Linked DNA regions of Oryctolagus cuniculus. The protein of the gene in region 3 interacts with the protein of the main gene of each other region in a biochemical or structural test. Links are inferred from orthologs where the notes say so. Each region holds a gene or a part of one and is shown on either strand. Other genes may lie near its edges.

Region 1 (5,085 bases), on a different chromosome or scaffold from region 3:
GCCCTCCGTCGAGCTCCCCAGAGAGAGCCTCCGAGGTGGGGAGGGGAGCTCTATTGTCTTTTCTGACCTCAGAGCCCCAGATGCAGCTCGGATGGCCAAAGTGTGCTGTTGTGCTCTGAAGATCAGTGAGGGCCCAGGGTCCACCAGGCGAGGACCGCTGGGTGCCGGCACACCCCTGCAGACATCACAGAGCTTCTGAGACCTCAGAGTCTCTTAGATTAAGAAGGATGCCATGGAACTCCTGGCCAGTGTTGTTGCAGTGAGGTGGACACGAGGGAGTGATTGGCTCTGTCTGGAGATCGAGAAAGGCTTCCTGGAGGAGGTGAGATGTCAGCTAGACTTGTCAGGATGAGGAGGGCTTCCTTCATTGTGGGAGAGGAGGACATTCTAGGTGAAGGGAACAACTCTTACCCCACGATTCTGGGGCGAGTTGCCCATGGCCTCTAAGGGACAGGCTCCCGAGCGAAGGGGGCTTCCTGGCTTCCAGGAGGCACTTTAAGAAACCCCAAGTCCAGCTGGAATTGGGACTTGTAGAGCTACCAGAAACGCATGGAGGAAGCCGCTTTTCCAGCCTCCTGCAGGGGTCGCTGCTGCCCCAGGCTGGGGCCGTAGCCTCTGGACTCAGCCCTCCTGCTCGAAGGGAACTCTGAGGAGGTTGGGGGCTGCCGGGACCTGTCTCCGTCCACACAGCGGGCTCCGGGGTGCCAGTGCCCCCAAGCCTGAAGAACTCACCTGCGCTCCGTCAGTGGCATTCGGCGGGGAGTGCAGCGGGCACCAAGATCTTTCTCTCTCTCTCTGGGTCACCTCAAGTTTATTCAAATAAAAGAAACTGTAGGTAAATGCTGCCATCTGTGCTACCTCCCGCCAACACACACACACATACACACACACACACACACACAGAACAAATCAGGCCCAGGACTACACGCAGGGGTTGAAACCGCCTTAAAAACATGGCAAGGACTTACTGAAAACCCACACTGCCCGTGTTTCTGGGGCTTAAGATCTTCGAGCTCATTCCCGGGCATGCCTCTGCAGGCAGGTGGGGTGGGCTGCTCCGTGAAGTGCACATGAGGACCCCTGAGTCTGCTGGGCCGACCGGGAGCCCCCTAAGCCGCAAGTCCCGCTGTGGGGCTCTGTGCCAAGAGCCCCCGTGAGCCAGGGCCTGCAAAGGGCAGCCGTGACTTTTTTCACATAAATATATCGTACTTAAATGAGTTTAGACAGCATGACATCAGAGAGTAATTAAATTGGTTTGGGTTGGAATTCCGTTTCCAATTCCTGAGTTCAGGTTTGTAAAAGATTTTTCTGAGCACCTGCAGGCCTCTGTGTATGTGTGTGTGTATGTGTGTGTGTGTGTGTGTGTGAAGTATTTTCACTGGAAAGGATTCAAAACCAGGGGGGGAGGAAAAAAAAACTGGAGCACACAGGCAGCATTACGCCATTCTTCCTTCTTGGAAAAATCCCTCAGTCTTATACAAGCCTCCTTCAAGCCCTCAGTCAGTTGTGCAGGAGAAAGGGGGCGGTCGGCTTTCTCCTTTCAAGAACGAGTTATTTTCAGCTGCTGACTGGAGACGGTGCACGTCTGGATCCGCAAGCATTTCCACGATGGGACTGGACACAAACACACGCCCGGCAGACTTCAGGAGTCTCAGACTGAGAGCGCCGTCCCTGCTGCCGCTACTGCCGCCGCCGCTGCCTTTGAAAGTCCACTCCTTTCATGGTTTTTCCTGCCAAGCCAGAGGCTCCTTCGCTGCTGCCGCCGTTCTCTTTGGTGTCATCCAGCGGCTGGCCAGAGGATGAGACTCCCCACACTCCTCACTCTCTTGCTTTGGCACCTGGCTTGGCTGGACCTGGAATTCGTCTGCTCTGTGTTGGGTGCCCCTGACTTGGGCCAGAGACCCCCGGGGCCCAGGCCAGTGTTGGCCAAAGCGGAGGCCAAGGAGAGGCCCGCGGTGGCCCGGAGCATCTTCAGGCCCGGGGGTCACAGCTATGGTGGGGGGGCCACCAATGCCAGGGCCAAGGGAGGCACCGGGCAGACGGGAGGCCTGACCCAGCCCAAGAAGGATGAACCCAAAAAGCTGCTGCCCCCCAGAACGGGTGGCCCTGAACCCAAGCCAGGACACCCTCCCCAGACCAGGCAGACTGCAGCACGAACTGTGACCCCAAAAGGACAGCTTCCCGGGGGGAAGGCACCCCCAAAGGCAGGATCTGTCCCCAGCTCCTTCCTGCTGAAGAAGGCCAGGGAGCCCGGGCCCCCTCGAGAGCCCAAGGAACCGTTCCGCCCGCCCCCCATCACACCCCACGAGTACATGCTCTCGCTGTACAGGACGCTGTCCGATGCTGACAGAAAGGGAGGCAACAGCAGCGTGAAGTTGGAGGCTGGCCTGGCCAACACCATCACCAGCTTTATTGACAAAGGGCAAGGTGAGGGGGTGGGGTGGCAGGGGTGCGACTCAGAGGGAGGGGCAGCTGCATGCATGGCGGGGTGGGAGAGGGGGCCTTGCACGGGCTGCACTGGGGCAGGACGGTGTGTGCACCTGGCCTGGGATGGGGTGCCTGACTTCTTTCTCTCTTACACACACACACACACACACACACACACACACACACACACACCAGGTCCAGGCTGCTGGCAGGTCATTGCTGGAAGGCGACTAGTGATCGCCAGATCCACTTCCTGCAAGGTGCAGAGAGGCGCACTGGAGCCGGGAGAGGGGACGGAGCTGCCCGTGAGGGGCAGATCGGAGACCAGACTCCGAGAGTCTTGACTACCAGGCCGTGCTCTGCGTCTGGGGGGGCTGGCCAGATTTTGCAGGCTCCTGGAGTTTGTAGATTTTCTCACTGGGTGGAGAGAGAGCTGAGTCTCCCGGTCGCCGAGGCTCTGCAGCTTTGCTCTTGGGCTGAGGGCAGAGGAAGCCGGGGCATCTTGCAGTCGTGGAAGGATGTCTGGAGACGTGGGGAGACTGCAGACCCAGGGTCTAACTCGCAATGTGACCCTGAGAAAAAGGCCCTTCTCACGGCAGGCTCTGTTCTCCCACGTGCACAGCCGTTTGGGCGGTGGGCTGTGTGATTTCTGAGTGCCCCTCAAAAACTGAAAACCTGATGTCCTGTCCTAACCACAGATCATTTTCATCCTGAACCTGGGGGAACACCTGCTCCCCTCACTTCTCCCTCTGCCCACCTCGTGTCACTGTTGCAGCTCTTCTTCTAACTCGCTGTGTGAGCTCAGCAAGTCTCCCTCTCCGGGCTGGCTGCAGCGTCTCCCTAGTGTGAGAAGGGGGGGTGGGCCGCTGATCGCTCGGGTTGCTTGCAGCTCCTGGGCTCTGGTTCAGAGTTTGAGGGGCTTTGGCTGGCAGGGTGGGGGAGGGGACAGAGATTGGGAGAGGTTCCTCATTAGAGCTGGCCTGTAGGGGAAGCACAGGGGTGGGGGTGCGGGTGGCGGGGGTGAGGCACAGAGGCAGCAGGTCTGGCTGAGGTGGGGGGAGGTGGCCTGGCTGCCTGCCCAGCCAGGGAAAGCTGTGACCCCTTGGGGAATCATAAAATCAGTCCTTGTGCCCCCCAGCACTAACGGGGCTTCGGGAGGGGGAGATGGGGAGTTTAAAGGCCTAATTAGTCACCTAGAGCAATATATGAATGTTCCCCAATGGCAAATTGGTATTTAGGAAGAAGGGTATGCCGATTCAGAGATACTACTAGCTTCGCACACACAGTTTGGATTTATACATGCATGCGGAATCACACACACACACATACACTCACATACCTCTTTATACACACAATTCTCACATGTAAGTATACATGTAAGAACTGACCTTTCAGATAGTCACACAAGCCCAATGCAACACACTTGTAACATGTCACTCACACACCCGAGGGTGCGTCTAAAAGTTTTTAAAAATGGAATCGAAAGACATATATTTTTGGTGCAAACATTTTGAAACTCATGCGTACTCAGCCATGATCTTTCCTATTCAGAATAAACCCAGTCACACACACATACAAACCGTCACACACTCACACATGCCGCAGAGCAAGACATATCCACAAAAGCCTGGCAAGCTGAGTTATCCACAGCTTTGTCGGTAACTCTGTGTGACCTTAGTCAAGTCGCCCCGCATGCCTGTCCCTCATCTACAAAGCGAGAACACCCAGATCTCCTCCAGGAGAGTGTGAAAGCAGCTCAGATCGGGGATCAAAAGCTTCCGGCTAGCGTTCCAACCCTGGCTGGGTTTTCTCAAGCAAGCACCTAACTTCTCAGAGCCGTAGGTTCCTCCGGAAAAACAAAGGTGATTTTAATGTCTGCTCTGCCAGTCTGATAACTGAGCTATCCTGTTGCATGATGGATAGGAGAGGGAGAGAGGCAGAAGGCAGCTCCAAGGCTGGCGGATCGTTGACACATGTAGATCATTGGCACAAACCACCCCCAAATCACTCAAGGCAACCGCAGCTACATTTGCAGACGAACACCAGACCTTGGTTGCCTGTGGGAAGCTCCCTCCTTTTGAAAACGGTTGTCAGTGCTCTGGGTCTTGGCCTCTGTTGGAGTGGGGAAGAGGTTAAAGAGAGCTCTCTCGTAGGGGGGAGAGAGAGAGAGCGAGTGAGTGAGCGAGCTGGGGTGCTCCCGTGGGGCCTCGAGGTGACTGGCTCCCCGAGGTGGGGGATGCAGGCAATGACTTCTGGGTGTTCTCTCTAGATGACCGAGGGCCTGTGGTCAGGAAGCAGAGGTACGTGTTTGACATTAGTGCCCTGGAGAAGGACGGGCTGCTGGGGGCTGAGCTGCGGATCTTGCGGAAGAGGCCCTCAGACACAGCCAAGCCAGTGGCCCCCGGCAGCGGGCGGGCTGCCCAGCTGAAGCTGTCCAGCTGCCCCAGCGGTCGGCAGCCGGCAGCCTTGCTGGATGTGCGCTCCGTGCCAGGCCTGGACGGCTCTGGCTGGGAGGTGTTCGACATCTGGAAGCTCTTCCGAAACTTTAAGAACTCGGCCCAGCTATGCCTGGAGCTGGAGGCCTGGGAACGGGGCCGGGCCGTGGACCTCCGTGGCCTGGGCTTTGATCGGACTGCCCGGCAGGTCCATGAGAAGGCT
Region 2 (4,992 bases), on a different chromosome or scaffold from region 3:
ATGAACACACATGCGCGCACACGCGTTTGAGTGCAAATGCATACCCAAATTTATGTAACTGTAAATGCGCACACATGGATTTCCATCTGCAGCTACATAGATGTCTCTGTGTTAAATATCGGCCAGTTTCCAGCTTCCCCTCGCCGGGGAAATACAGAAGCGTCTACCACACCACGTCTGCACCAAGATGCTCTGTAACTTCCCTGAGCTCTTTTCTGAAAAACTTCAAACTGAAACCTGAATAACGGGCCCGGTGGAGACACCGAGGCCAGAACCTGCCGTCGCCCCGCATCTCAGCCCCGGAGAACACGCGAGGGTCGGGTACAAGGGTGACATCTCCGGCCCTAGGGCAGGGGGGTGGAAGCGCCAGCGCCCCCCTCGGCGGCCGCGCGCCCCCGCCCTTGGCCCCACCCCGCTGCGGCTGCCCCCGGCGCGCCGTCCACACCCCTGAGCGCCGCTCCCGCCCGCTCGGGGATCCCCGGCGAGCAGTGCCGCCGAGGGGGAGGTGTTCGGCCGGGGCCGGGAGGGAGCCAGCAGGCGGCGTCCCCTTTAAAAGCCGCGAGCGCCGCGCCACGGCGCCGCCGCCGCCGCCGTCGCCGCCGGAGTCCTCGCCCCGCCGCGCTGCGCCCGGCTCGCGCTGCGCCCGCCGCTCCGGTTCCCACACCCCGCCGGGGATTGGCAGCCGCCGCCGGACATCAGCCGCCGCCGGCGACCCGAGCGCCCTCGAGGCGAGCGCCGCGCGGATTACTGGGCGCTGCGAGGCACCCGCGCACCGCAGACCCCTCGCGGGTTGGAGCACCCGGCCGTTGCGCGCCACAGCTCGGTGGCCTCGGCTGCCCGGGCCGCGCCGGAGCCGCGGACGGGCGCGCGGAGCGCCGGAGAGTGCGGAGCCAAGCCCGAGCGCCGCGATGCCGAGCACCTCCTGCCGGGGATCGGGGGCTCGAGACGTGCCAGCCGAGGTGTGATCGGACCCCAAGCCGGCCACAAAGGGCACTTGGCCCGAGGGCTAGGACAGCAGCGAGGGCAGAGCGCGGCCACCCGCTTCGGCGGCCCGGGACTCGGCTGGGCTCGCGGAGAATGCGCCCGAGGACGACGGGGCGCCGGAGCCGCGGCTGTTTCCACTGGCCAGCGCTGATGGGGGTGCGCTGGCGGCAGGCAGAGTGATGCGGGGGGGCAGCTCGCCGGGCATCGAGATCGCCGCTGTGCCCTTCCCCGGACCCGGCGTCGCCCAGGATGGCTGCCCCGAGCCATGGGCCGCGGCGGAGCTAGCGCTGAGCGCCCGACCCTCGCCCCCCGGAGTCCCGCAGGCGGCCCCGCGCGCGGCCACGCGTCCCGCGGGCGCTGGTGCCTGAGGACGACGACAGCAGCAGCCTTTCCTCTCTGCCTTCCCTTCCCTTCCCCGGCCCGCACTCCTCCCCCTGCTCGCTGTTGTTGTGTGTCAGCACTTGGCTGGAGACTTCTTGAACTTGCAGCCTTAACTTGCGCTGCTCCCCGCTTCGCGCCGGTGCCCGCGCCCCGGCGGAGCCGCCTCGCTGCCTCCGAGCCCCGCCGCGCTGCAGCCCTCTGCCGGGCCGAGCCCGGGACGCCGCGCCCTGCGCGAGGAGAGGGACTCGGCGGCCGGCGCCGGGAGGAGAAGCCGGAGGCCACGGGAAGGGAGCGGACGCCCGGTCCCCGCGCCAGGTCCCTGGGCCAGAGCTTTTTCCATGTGGAGGCTCTTTCAATGGACGTGTCCCCGCGGGCTTCTTAGACGGACTGCGGTCTCCTAAAGGTACGGGACGCGCGGGCCCCGGGGTGCGGGGCGGGCGCTGGGCTCGCGCGGCGGCGGCGGCGGCGGCGGACCCCCCTCCGGGGCGCGGCCGGGCAGGACGTAAACAGACCCCTCTCCGGGGCCACGTGCAGCCCAGCCCGGCGGGGGCGCCCCCTTTCCCCGCGCCCGCACGCTTCCGCCCCTCCTCCGCTCTTCCTCGATATATTATTAAGGCTGTTAACACTTAGATGATTTTTTTAAAAAATTAAAAAGTCAAAGAGCTGCCTTGGAGAGGATGGCCCCTGGGTTTCACCCGTTAGCTGCCAACCTGTACGCCGTGGCACGGCGCTGTCTTCATCAAGATTCTGGGGGAGACCCGCGCTCTCCATCAGAGCCCCGTCCCCCGTAGGAAAGCGCTGGGCGTTAGGGGTTCTCTCCGCCGGTTGCTAGAAGCGCTAGAGGGCCAGGGTCCCGCTCGCGCCGTGGGTTTCCCCGCTGGCACGTGCGCGCGTGGAGATCGGCCCTTTATGTAACGCCGGGAAGGTACCTGCGTACGCGACCGCACCGGGGGCTCGCGGGCGGGCGTGGAGCGGGGCGTCCCGACACCCAGCGGGCAGCCACCGCCAAGCGGCTTCAGAAGTCGTGGCCCTGAGTTTGCAGGGTCTGGAAGTGGTGAACTGTGGCTCAGGAAGTTCCGTGCCCCGGTTCTCAGGAAGTCACATGCGCGCGCGTTTATAGGCAAGGGAGCGCTCTGAGTTTGGCTAGGCGCGGCAGGGTGTCAGATCAAGCGGTGATCCCCCAGACTCCCTGCATGGCTGCCAGCTCTGGTGTGTGTGTGTGTGTGTGTGTGTGTGTGTGTGTGTGTGTGTGTGTATGGGAGGGGGGAGTGACAACCACTTAAGTTCAGTGGGGAGGGAGCGAGGGATAAGGCCAACCCCCAAATCAAGTATCAGACGGGCCCAGGCTGGGGTGGGAGAGAGAAAAGTGCTCTGGGTCAGGAACTTGGGGCCCTCCATTCCCCCACCCCACCCCAAACGTTAGAGCTGTGGCCGCTCTGACATAGCCAGCAAGTGCTGCAAGGCAGGAGGGCGCCCTGGAGGAGGAGGCGAGCGAGCGCAGCGGGAGCCCAGGCCGCGGGGGCGGGAAGGGAGAGGACTGGGCGGGGAACTCGGGTGACTCACGTCGGCCCTGTCCGCAGGTCGACCATGGTGGCCGGGACCCGCTGTCTTCTAGCGTTGCTGCTTCCCCAGGTCCTCCTGGGCGGCGCGGCCGGCCTCATCCCCGAGCTGGGCCGCAGGAAGTTCGCGGCGTCATCGGGCCGCCCCTCGCCCCAGCCCTCGGACGACATCCTGAGCGAGTTCGAGTTGCGGTTGCTCAGCATGTTCGGTCTGAAGCAGAGACCCACCCCTAGCAGGGACGCCGTGGTGCCCCCCTACATGCTGGACTTGTACCGCCGGCACTCCGGCCAGCCTGGCGCGCCCGCCCCGGACCACCGGCTGGAGAGGGCAGCCAGCCGCGCCAACACGGTGCGCAGCTTCCACCACGAAGGTAAGGCGAGGCGCGCGCCGCAGGGGCAGAGACGCGGGCGGGTTGCTACCCGCAACGCCGAGCACCAAGGCCGGCTGCGGGCATCCCTGGAGAGGCAGTTCAGCCAGAGCTCTGCGGATGCTGTCCCTCTTGCTTCCGTACCGACCTTTCTGAATCTGATTTTCAGGCACTGCTCGTGTGGCGGGCCAGCCAGGGATTCCCCCTTGGTCGGTCCGTACCCGTTTCCTGGCACGCAGCCAGGAGGGCGACTCCTCCTCCAGGAACCAGAGCGGAATCAAGGGATGGGGAAGACGAGGCTAAAAGGCATGCCCCTGGTCAGCTAAGCGTGCAGGAATTCCGCAGTGGGAGAAGGAGGAGGTTTGGGATTTCTTGAAGTCTGTTTGGAAGCCCTTGCTCCATAAATCTGTGTCTCCAGCTTAAGCCAGGGTTTCAAGCTAGACTGAGGCAAGGGCGGAATTCTCAGATAGTCTTGAAAAATCAAAGCCCAGGGCCCCCAAGTCTTCCTAATTTACAGTGGATCTGGGCCTGCGTTGGAAGATTTCGAATCCCTATCTAATCCCCGTGGGAGATCAATTCCACAATCAATCTTATTGTTTCCACAATGACTTTCTTGTCTCGTGCTTAAATCTGAGATAGGCTCAGAGTAGAGACAAAGCAAGCCTTCAGATAAAACCTTTTGCAGCAGCTGCCTGTCTTCCTTCACATGCATTGAAATGTGATTTTTTTTTTCTTTTATGATCCTGGATGTGGTTTTCCTAAGGTAGGATATTTCTGCTGGTTTCATCAGGAAGGCATTTAGTGGATTTGAAATGTCTTAGGGCAGCTATGGAGCTCTGTTGCACCTAACTTCTTAGCACCGTTAGTCAACTACATGCTACATTTCCATTCTTTTGTTCTTTTAAATGTGCCTTTGGCTTAATAGCTCTAAATACAGAATGCATTCCTGCGAATTCTAGAAAAGAGTGGAGTTACAGATCACAGAACAGCCACTTGCACTGACTGATGTTCCCTTTTCCTTGACGAAAACAATTTTCTCTCAGTGGGACGTTTTCAAGAACGATGGGTGATAATGAGAAGAAGTCCCAAAGGCAGGTCCCATCACACAAGCTACTTCTCATCCCAGCTGTCACAGTGAAGGGAGCTGGGAGCTGGTAGCACGTGTTCCAGCACATTTTGAAGTAAAGTGTTTTCTGAAGATCTGAGGATCAACATCTTTTTCTATCTGTTGAGAATTCAGCCACTGACAGCAGAAGTTTGTTGTTACAGGAGAAAGGTTTTCCTTCCTGTGTCTTCTGTCATGGTAACCATGAGATGACTACAGGTTCATCGCTTCCAGTTGACACAGATTAGAATAGTATTTCTGGATAAAAAGGGAATAGGAGTTAGCTGGATAGGTCTCCTCTTAACGTTCATTTTTAAGGCTAGGAAGGTATGGTGTCTTTCTCATAACTTTGAGAGGAAGATTATTTAAAAATCAAAAGCACCTGAGACTTTGACATGTGTAACTGTTTCAGCAATGAAGTGTGCCTGTGTCTTTTTCTAGAAATGGCTTGATCAAGACCTAAGCAGGCTACCCAGAATATAGTAAGTTATTTTTGGCCTTAACAGCCGGGGCTGGGTTGATCCGAAGCCAAGAGCCAGGAGCTTCTTCTGGGTCTCCCACATGTGTGCAGGGGCCCCAGGACTTGAGCCATCCT
Region 3 (4,403 bases):
CAAGGTGTAGTGATGACTATGAAGAGCTCTTGATAACTAGAGAACAGTTCCGAATGTTTTATCTAAGTGTCACATTCTGTCATACTCAAGGCTTTAGGACTTCCATGGATATGGCTCAGACTATCCCAGAAAGATACATTGCTAGTCCATTCCTCTTAATGGAAGGACTTTGAAAGAATCTGAAATTCAAACTTTTTTACCATTTGGCCATTGATACTGAATTGGCAAGATACTCACTGAAAAGACATGAGGTATCTAGAATTAAGGGAATACAAGGCCGGCGCCGTGGCTCAATAGGCTAATCCTCCACCTTGCGGCGCCGGCACACCGGGTTCTAGTCCCGGTTGGGGCGCCGGATTCTGTCCCGGTTGCCCCTCTTCCAGGCCAGCTCTCTGCTATGGCCAGGGAGTGCAGTGGAGGATGGCCCAGGTGCTTGGGCCCTGCACCCCATGGGAGACCAGGAAAAGCACCTGGCTCCTGGCTCCTGCCATCGGATCAGCGCGGTGCGCCGGCTGCAGCGGCGGCCATTGGAGGGTGATCCAACGGCAAAGGAAGACCTTTCTCTCTCTCTCTCTCTCTGTCCACTCTGCCTGTCAAAAAAAAAAAAAAAAAAAAAAAAAAGGGAATACAAAAGAAATAAGTGCTATGGTTCCTCTGCTCACAAAATATAATATCTGGTTATATGAGTATATGGTTCATAAAGATGTATTTGGTGGAGTTATAAAACTATAGAGGAAATTATTGAATTAATCCTTGTAAAATAAAATAATGAACAGCTACAAAAAATCATCAAGATTCATGTAGATTTTTCAGTATGCTTAAGTCTTGTATAGCTAGCATTTATCAAGGTATTGACACTTGATTGTTTTTCATCTTAAGTAACCTCTAAAATAATATGAGTTAGGAATTAAATGAAAAGCAGCTTGAACTTTAAAATCAGAAGTACTAAACTTGGAGAAAATTTGTCATAATACACATTTTCAGTGTTATACTTTTTCTTTTTTTAAGCAACCTGTCACATAATAGGCGTATGCCAAAAATTGGCCCTTATCCAGATTACTCTTCTTCCTCATACATTGAAGACTCCATCCATCATACTGACAGCATTGTGAAGAACATTTCCTCTGAGCATTCCGTGTCCAGCACACCTTTGACTACAGGGGAAAAGAACCGGAACTCAATTAATTATGAACGGCAACAAGCACAAGCTCGAATCCCCAGCCCTGAAACGAGCGTCACCAGCCTGTCCACCAATACAACAACCACAAACACCACTGGTCTCACTCCTAGTACTGGCATGACTACTATATCTGAGGTGCCGTACCCAGATGAAACCAGTCTTCATGCTGCAAATGCTACACAGTCGATTGGGCCAACACCTGTGTGCTTACAGCTAACAGAAGAAGACTTGGCGACCAACAAGCTAGACCCAAAAGAAGTTGATAAGAACCTCAAAGAAAGCTCTGATGAGAATCTCATGGAACATTCTCTTAAACAGTTCAGTGGGCCAGACCCATTGAGCAGCACCAGTTCTAGCTTGCTTTACCCACTCATAAAGCTTGCAGTAGAAGTGACTGGACAGCAGGACTTCACACAGGCTGCAAATGGCCAAGCATGTTTAATTCCTGATGTTCCACCTACTCAGATTTATCCTCTTCCCAAACAACAGAACCTTCCTAAGAGACCTACTAGTTTGCCTTTGAACACCAAAAATTCAACAAAGGAGCCCCGGCTAAAATTTGGCAGCAAGCACAAATCAAACTTGAAACAAGTAGAAACTGGGGTTGCCAAAATGAACACAATCAATGCAGCAGAACCTCATGTGGTGACTGTTACCATGAATGGGGTGGCAGGTAGAAACCATGTTAACTCCCATGCTGCCACAACCCAGTACGCCAATGGGACAGTACCATCTGGCCAGACAGCCAACATAGGGGCACATAGGGCCCAAGAAATGCTGCAGAATCAATTTATCAGTGAGGACACCAGGCTGAATATTAATTCCAGTCCTGATGAGCATGAACCTTTACTGAGACGAGAGCAGCAGGCTGGCCGTGATGAAGGTGTTCTGGATCGTCTGGTGGACAGGAGGGAACGGCCACTAGAAGGTGGCCGAACTAATTCCAATAACAACAACAGCAATCCATGTTCAGAACAAGATGTTCTTACACAAAGTGTTCCAAGCACAGTAGCAGATCCTGGGCCATCAAAGCCCAGAAGAGCACAGAGGCCTAATTCTCTGGATCTTTCAGCCACAAATGTCCTGGATGGCAGCAGCATGCAGAGTAAGTAGAGGGTTCCTGTGTGTCTTAGAATCAGATTGTGTTTCAACTAGTGATTTTTTTTTGACAGGCAGAGTGGACAGTGAGAGAGAGAGACAGAGAGAAAGGTCTTCCTTTGCCGTTGGTTCACCCTCCGATGGCCGCTGTGGCCGGCACGCTGCGGCCAGCGCACCGCGCTGATCCGATGGCAGGAGCCAGGTACTTCTCCTGGTCTCCCATGGGGTGCAGGGCCCAAGGACTTGGGCCATCCTCCACTGCACTCCCTGGCCACAGCAGAGAGCTGGCCAGGAAGAGGGGCAACCGGGACAGAATCCGGCGCCCTGACCGGGACTAGAACCCAGTGTGCCAGCGCCGCGAGGCAGAGGATTAGCCTACAACTAGTGATTATTTACCTTTAGCATTTTTTAAAATAAAATAAACCATTTGGTTGGGTCTCAAAAGTAATTAGACTATTTTGAAGAAAAAATGCAATAGGAATTTTGTCATTGAAGAATTAACTCCGTATCTTGGTAATCAGATAATTAACACTTTAATTTGTGCATTATATGGCTGCTGCCTTATAATACAACTGTCACACTTGGTGTGAATAGTTGAGATTAAGTACTCACCAATTCAAGATTCCGAATAGTGTTAACGCCAGTGTAACTTTTCAGACAGTTTGTTGTGAATATTAACATATATTATTATATCTGCATTTAGAGTTTATCAAACTATAATAAATCTTAGAAATCCAGAGAAATTTCAGAAAAGTCTCTTTAAAGAAACTACAAGGTTGTCTCGGTTTCTTAGTGTCATCTTTCTCCAGAGTAACACATTGGGTTTCTCACATACCTGTAGCATTGTGCTGTGGGCCCCATAGCAACATAAACAAATAAACTGATGCTTGGTTTCTGGCCCTAAGTAAATTACAGCACAAGACAATTACGTCTACCAAAATCTATAACAGTCATCATTATATAAAATAGTTTCTGTTTTAGACTGACAGTACTCATGGGAGAAGAAGTTAGGTTTCATGGTTGTCAGGGACTACAAGATGGGCCCCTGTCCCATTGCTTGAGTGGCTTGTCTCGTGGAGCAGTGGATGTACCCCGATTGCCAGGCTTTGTTTCAGTGAAAGATCTCCTTTGATGTATGAGAAGAGGGAATAACTAGGAAATCTGTACTATAATATTTCTGATATCCTCCTAAAGAATATTGTTTGTCAGGTAACTTTCAAGTTTGATCCACTTTAGTACTAGGTAGAATAAAGTACATTTTACCGAGTTACAGTTTCTACCAAAACCAAAGTATTTGAGAATGTTGCTGAAAACTTTGAATTTTCTTCTCTGATCTTACTTTTTGGATTTTTTTCCCTCTATTTCCTCCTTTGCCTTGTGGAGTAATTCAATCAGTTTTAAGAGACCATTTGTCTTAAAAAGTGTCAAAAATAAATTGGTTAAGCTTTGCCAAGAACACATTGCCTGTCCTCATGACTTTGGAGAAATGTCCATCAACACCTTCTGCAGACACTGATTTGCTACAATCCTAACCCTTTACTTCTCACCAGTTCTTTATGTTTAGTTCATTTTTCTGTACTTTTGTTTTCAGTAGGTGAGTCAACACAAGATGGCAAATCAGGATCAGGTGAAAAGATCAAGAAACGTGTGAAAACTCCCTATTCTCTTAAGCGGTGGCGCCCCTCCACCTGGGTCATCTCCACTGAACCACTGGACTGTGAGGTCAACAGCTATGGCAACGATAGGGCAGTTCATTCCAAATCCAGCACCGCTGTTTACCTTGCAGAAGGAGGCACTGCCACAACCATGGTGTCTAAAGATATAGGAATGAACTGTCTGTGAAATGTTCTCAAGCCTACGGAGTAAAATTATTTTTTGCATCATTTAAACATGCAGAAGATATTTAAAAAAAAAAAAACTGCTTTATCCTCCCCGTCAGCACCCCTCCCAACCCTGCAACCAGGACTTGCTTTAAATAGATTTCAGCTATGCAGAAAAATTTAGCTTATGCTTCCATATTTTTTAATTTTGTTTTTTTTTTAAGTTTTGCACTTTTGTTTAGTCTTGCTAAAGTTATATTTGTCTGTTATGACCACAGAATTATATGTGTGTGTATCAAAAGTGG
Region 4 (4,889 bases), on a different chromosome or scaffold from region 3:
GCCAGCACCCCCGCCCCCGAGCGCACGCGTGACAGGGGCCGCAGCGCCGGGCCGCCCTGCTGCTCGGAGCGCCCGCAGCCGCTCGCCAGGGGTGATGTTTGGCCTCGCCGAGACCCCAGGGAGGACCGGCAGGGCGCGCGCGCGCGTGCTTGGGGTCGTGCGAGCGTGCGCGGAGGGTCCCGCTGCGCTTCCCGGTACCCATGCCTCTCGGTGCGGAGGCTCCGGGCGGCTGAAACTCCACTGCCAACCCCTGGAGCGAGGCTCGGGCCGCAAAGCGCAAACCCTTTCTTTCGTGCCCGGGACCTGTGGCTAAAGCGTCCCGGGGACGAGGGGCCGGCCAGACCCTCGGCATGGCGCGCCGCAGCTGGAGGCAAAGGCCAGGTCCTCCGCGCGCTGGCGGCGGGGCACCGGCCGAGGTTTCCGCTGAGCGCCGCCGTCGGGAGCTCCTCCCCGGCCGCCGAGGCTCGGGCGGCGGGCGCGGAGGTTGGCCTCGCCTGGAGGGGCGGGGACCGAGCGGGGGCGGCGGGTGGAGGCGGGGCGGGCGGGGCCTCGGCGTTCACGTGACTCCGAGGGGCTGGAAGAAAAACAGAGCCTGTCTGCGCCCGAGTCTCATTATATTCAAATATTCATTTTAGGAGCCATTCCGTAGTGCCATCCCGAGCGACGCGCGGCCGCAGCTTCTCTGAGCCTTTCCAGCAAGTCTGTTCAAGATTGGCTGCCAAGAATCATGGACTGTTATTATATGCCTTGTTTTCTGTCAGTGAGTAGACACCTCTTGCTTACCCCCTCCCGGGAATTCACTGCCCTCCACGCTCCGCTCGCGGCCCCGCAGCCGGCGCGCGCAGACCCAGCCGGTTCTTTTTAACAAGTGCTGCCGGCTCCGATCGGGCGCGGTGCAGGGCAAGGGAGCGCGCGGGGCTGGGGTTGGGGTGGGGGCTCAGAGACGACAGGTCCGCTGCCCCGGGGTGGTCCTGCGCGCCCGCCACTCCGCGTCCCTGCCCCGCTGGCCTAGGGGAGCGTTCCGAGCGCCCGTGGAGCGGTCCCAGCCTCTTGTCAAAGCTCGCGGAGTTCTCCCCGGAGCCGGCTGCCACCCCCTTCCCCGGGAGGGAGCGTGCCGACACGATCACACCTCCTGCCGAGTATTTCACCCTCGTCGGCCACGGCGCAAAACCGGCCGCCGGGGCAGCCCCCCCGGACCCCGCCGCCCGCCCCGCGCCTCCGTCCAGTCCCTGCCTCTCCGCCTTCCCTCCCTGACGGTCCCGACCAGCTGGAGGTTGTGGAAGTTGGGCTCGGAGGGCGGAGGAAGGTGGGGGTGGAGGGAGAGGGGGGAGAGGCTGAAAGTCGGCCGTGGAGAGCGAGGGCATTTGCGTTCTCCCTCCCCCCCCTCCTCACCCCCCCCTCCATGTTAACTGTTTATTCCTGAAGAAGCCACGCTGAGATCATGGCTCAGATGGCAGTTGGGACAAAAAAAGATTAACAGGATGGAGGCTATCTGATTTGGGGTTATTTGACTGTAAACAAGTTAGACCAAGTAATTACAGGGCAATTTTTACTTTCAGGCCGTGCACGGCTGCAGCTGCTTGGGGGGGGGAGGGGGTGCGAGGGAGAAGGCACAGACTTGGGTCTTTCCGACCTGCTTGGCATCCCGACCCTGTGCTGCTAGCCCTATATGCATATGCGGACACCTCTCTGTTTCTCTCTATTTACTGGTGTTTATTTATTCCACCCCCCCACCCCTCCCCAGAGACACCATGATTCCTGGTAACCGAATGCTGATGGTCGTTTTATTATGCCAAGTCCTGTTAGGAGGCGCGAGCCATGCTAGTTTGATACCTGAGACGGGGAAGAAAAAAGTCGCCGAGATTCAGGGCCACGCGGGAGGACGCCGCTCAGGGCAGAGCCATGAGCTCCTGCGGGACTTCGAGGCGACGCTGCTGCAGATGTTCGGGCTGCGCCGCCGCCCGCAGCCTAGCAAGAGCGCCGTCATCCCGGATTACATGCGGGATCTTTACCGGCTCCAGTCAGGGGAGGAGGAGGAGGAAGAGCAGATGCCCAGCGGCGGTCTCGAGTATCCGGAGCGTCCGGCCAGCCGGGCCAACACCGTGAGGAGCTTCCACCACGAAGGTGAGTCCCTGGCTGGCGTCTGGGCGAGGGGGGAGGGCCAGCAGGCCTGGCTGCGGGGGCCCTGAGCACCCTGGGGGAAGAGTTCAGGTTACATCAAAGCCCCAATCGGAGAGGCTGGGGAACGGGGCTGCTCACCTCCAAGAATTTCCAGAGCTGCCTCTGAACTTATTTGGGGGGGGGGCGGTTAGGGGGGTGGAGGTGGGGGTAGTTGGGAGATGGGGACTGAGGCTGCTAGTCCCGCTGGTGTGTTTCTGCCATATCAAAGCTGTTTCTGCCCCCCGCCCCCCCTTTTTCCAAAGCACCTACCGAATTTAATATTACAGCTGTGTGCGTTGGTCAGGTTTATTCAATAGGGGCCTTGTAATCTGATCTGAATGTTTCCTAGCGGATGTTTCTTTTCCAAAGTAAATCTGAGTTATGAATCCACCAGCATCATTACTGTGTTGGAATTTATTTTCCCCCCTGTAACATGATCAACAAGGCATGCTCTGTGTTTCCAAGATCGCTGGGGAAATGTTTAGTAACATACTCGAAAGAGGAAGAGGGAGAGAGTGGTTGCATGCATGTTTCCTCCAGCCTGGGCTCTGTGGGCCAAGCCAAGAGGGGGCTTTAAATGGGAGTCTGAGCGTGATGGAGAAAGGGAGTGGCTGCGTGGAAGCTGTCAGGCACATGGGGGAGGCTGGGAGATGCTCTGTCTTGGGTGCTAGACAGGCGCCAGCTAAGTGTTGTTGGTTCCCTGGGTGCCCTACCTAGCTGCTCCTTCAGACCCACAGGCAGACACCCCTCCCCTGCCCCCACCGTAGTCTTCCAGCTTATAAGCAGAGTTCACCACTCATCACCCCGCTCAGCTACTTCCGCCATCCCCATCTCTCAAAAAAGTTCACGTGCTCTTTCATTTTCCCTTCCTTCTCACCGTGCCCAGAACATCTGGAGAACATCCCAGGGACCAGCGAAAACTCTGCTTTTCGTTTCCTCTTTAACCTCAGCAGCATCCCAGAGAACGAGGCCATCTCCTCCGCAGAGCTCCGGCTCTTCCGGGAGCAGGTGGACCAGGGCCCCGACTGGGAGCGGGGCTTCCACCGGATAAACATTTATGAGGTTATGAAGCCCCCGGCGGAAGCAGTGCCCGGGCACCTCATCACACGACTACTGGACACGAGACTGGTCCACCACAATGTGACACGGTGGGAAACTTTTGACGTGAGCCCCGCGGTCCTGCGATGGACCCGGGAGAAGCAGCCCAACCATGGGCTGGCCGTGGAGGTGACTCACCTCCACCATACACGGACCCATCAGGGCCAGCATGTCAGGGTTAGCCGATCGTTACCTCAAGGGAGTGGGGATTGGGCCCAGCTCCGGCCCCTCCTGGTCACCTTTGGCCACGACGGCCGGGGCCATGCCTTGACCCGACGCCGGAGGGCCAAGCGGAGCCCTAAGCATCACCCACAGCGGGCCCGGAAGAAGAATAAGAACTGCCGGCGCCACGCGCTCTACGTGGACTTCAGCGACGTGGGCTGGAATGACTGGATTGTGGCCCCCCCAGGCTACCAGGCCTTCTACTGCCACGGGGACTGCCCCTTTCCACTGGCGGACCACCTCAACTCCACCAACCACGCCATCGTGCAGACCCTGGTCAACTCTGTCAACTCCAGCATCCCCAAAGCCTGTTGTGTGCCCACTGAACTGAGCGCCATCTCCATGCTGTACCTGGATGAGTATGACAAGGTGGTACTGAAGAATTACCAGGAGATGGTAGTAGAGGGGTGTGGGTGCCGCTGAGATCCCGCAGCCCTTGAGGACGGACAGACAGACAGACACACACACGTTCCCATCCATTCACCCACACACTACACAGACTGCTTCCTTATAGCTGGACTTTTTATCTTTGAAAAAAGAAAAAAAAGGAAAAAACCTAAACATTCACCTTGACCTTATTTATGACTTTACGTGCAAATGTTTTGACCATATTGATCATATATTTTGACAAAATATATTTATAACTACGTATTAAAAGAAAAAAATAAAATGAGTCATTATTTTAAAGGTACACTCTGGCCTTTTTCTCTCTTACCCTTTTTCTTTTCGGTTGTGCTGTTGAGAGAGGCTGGGGGCATTGATGGAAGTTGGGGTGGGGACAGGAAGTAAACCAGTGGCCCAGAGAGATGGTAATTGCTGGGATGAATTGTTTTCCATTTCTATTTAATGTTAACAAGGACGCAGCATCCTCTCCCATCTGGATGACACATGCCTTGGAGAAACAGTGGGATGAAAGGAGCAGGTCAGATGAAAGGCCCCGTTTGGGGCTCCTCGTACATCTTCTGTGTTTGCTCACCTGTTGGAGGTGCGGCCCAGCCGACTGTGATGAAGTCTGAGCTCCCACCTTTACGATACCTCGGGGTGTCTCTGGTTATTACAGGCGCCAGTGTGTTTTCAAACCAAAACTAATTTGCACAGCTCACATATGAATCTGTGGGTTTTTTCTTTGTTTTGAAGTGGACTTTACCCAGTAAAATATATGATATGCCCTACATTTTATTAAAAAAAAGCTTGATAACCACTACTTTAATACACCACTGAGAACTCTCCAGTGTTTTCTTGGCATTATTCCCTACCCCCCATCGCTCTTGAAGGCCTTCATCAAGTTCAACATCCTGACACATTGGGCTGGGAAGGGGACTGACAAGGAGGCCAGATGCTGAGTAGGCACTGTGAAAGTGCTTCGCTGCTACTGTGGGCTCTCTGGAGTCAATGCCAACCCTCCTCTC

Evidence for each region. The genes of interacting proteins can lie anywhere in the genome.
Region 1: the proteins of BMPR2 (region 3) and GDF5 form a complex in vitro, tested with the Homo sapiens proteins (2 studies listed by BioGRID and IntAct, with this or other methods). The link is inferred for Oryctolagus cuniculus from reciprocal best matches to the Homo sapiens genes BMPR2 and GDF5.
Region 2: the proteins of BMPR2 (region 3) and BMP2 form a complex in vitro, tested with the Homo sapiens proteins (4 studies listed by BioGRID and IntAct, with this or other methods). The link is inferred for Oryctolagus cuniculus from reciprocal best matches to the Homo sapiens genes BMPR2 and BMP2.
Region 4: the proteins of BMPR2 (region 3) and BMP4 form a complex in vitro, tested with the Homo sapiens proteins (2 studies listed by BioGRID). The link is inferred for Oryctolagus cuniculus from reciprocal best matches to the Homo sapiens genes BMPR2 and BMP4.

Annotation. Positions count from the first base shown.
Region 1 is NC_091442.1:22,724,783-22,729,867, forward strand, and holds the start of GDF5 (growth/differentiation factor 5 precursor), read left to right. Parts: upstream 1-1,799; coding exon 1,800-2,427; intron 2,428-4,696; coding exon 4,697-5,085. UniProt on the Homo sapiens protein: Growth factor involved in bone and cartilage formation. During cartilage development regulates differentiation of chondrogenic tissue through two pathways.
Region 2 is NC_091442.1:31,667,792-31,672,783, forward strand, and holds the start of BMP2 (bone morphogenetic protein 2 precursor), read left to right. Parts: upstream 1-1,706; 5' UTR 1,707-1,768; intron 1,769-2,945; 5' UTR 2,946-2,952; coding exon 2,953-3,295; intron 3,296-4,992. UniProt on the Homo sapiens protein: Growth factor of the TGF-beta superfamily that plays essential roles in many developmental processes, including cardiogenesis, neurogenesis, and osteogenesis. Induces cartilage and bone formation.
Region 3 is NC_091434.1:37,454,440-37,458,842, reverse strand, and holds part of BMPR2 (bone morphogenetic protein receptor type-2), read left to right. Parts: intron 1-1,008; coding exon 1,009-2,285; intron 2,286-3,869; coding exon 3,870-4,120; 3' UTR 4,121-4,403. UniProt on the Homo sapiens protein: On ligand binding, forms a receptor complex consisting of two type II and two type I transmembrane serine/threonine kinases.
Region 4 is NC_091443.1:22,466,058-22,470,946, forward strand, and holds BMP4 (bone morphogenetic protein 4 precursor), read left to right. Parts: upstream 1-1,751; coding exon 1,752-2,124; intron 2,125-3,046; coding exon 3,047-3,903; downstream 3,904-4,889.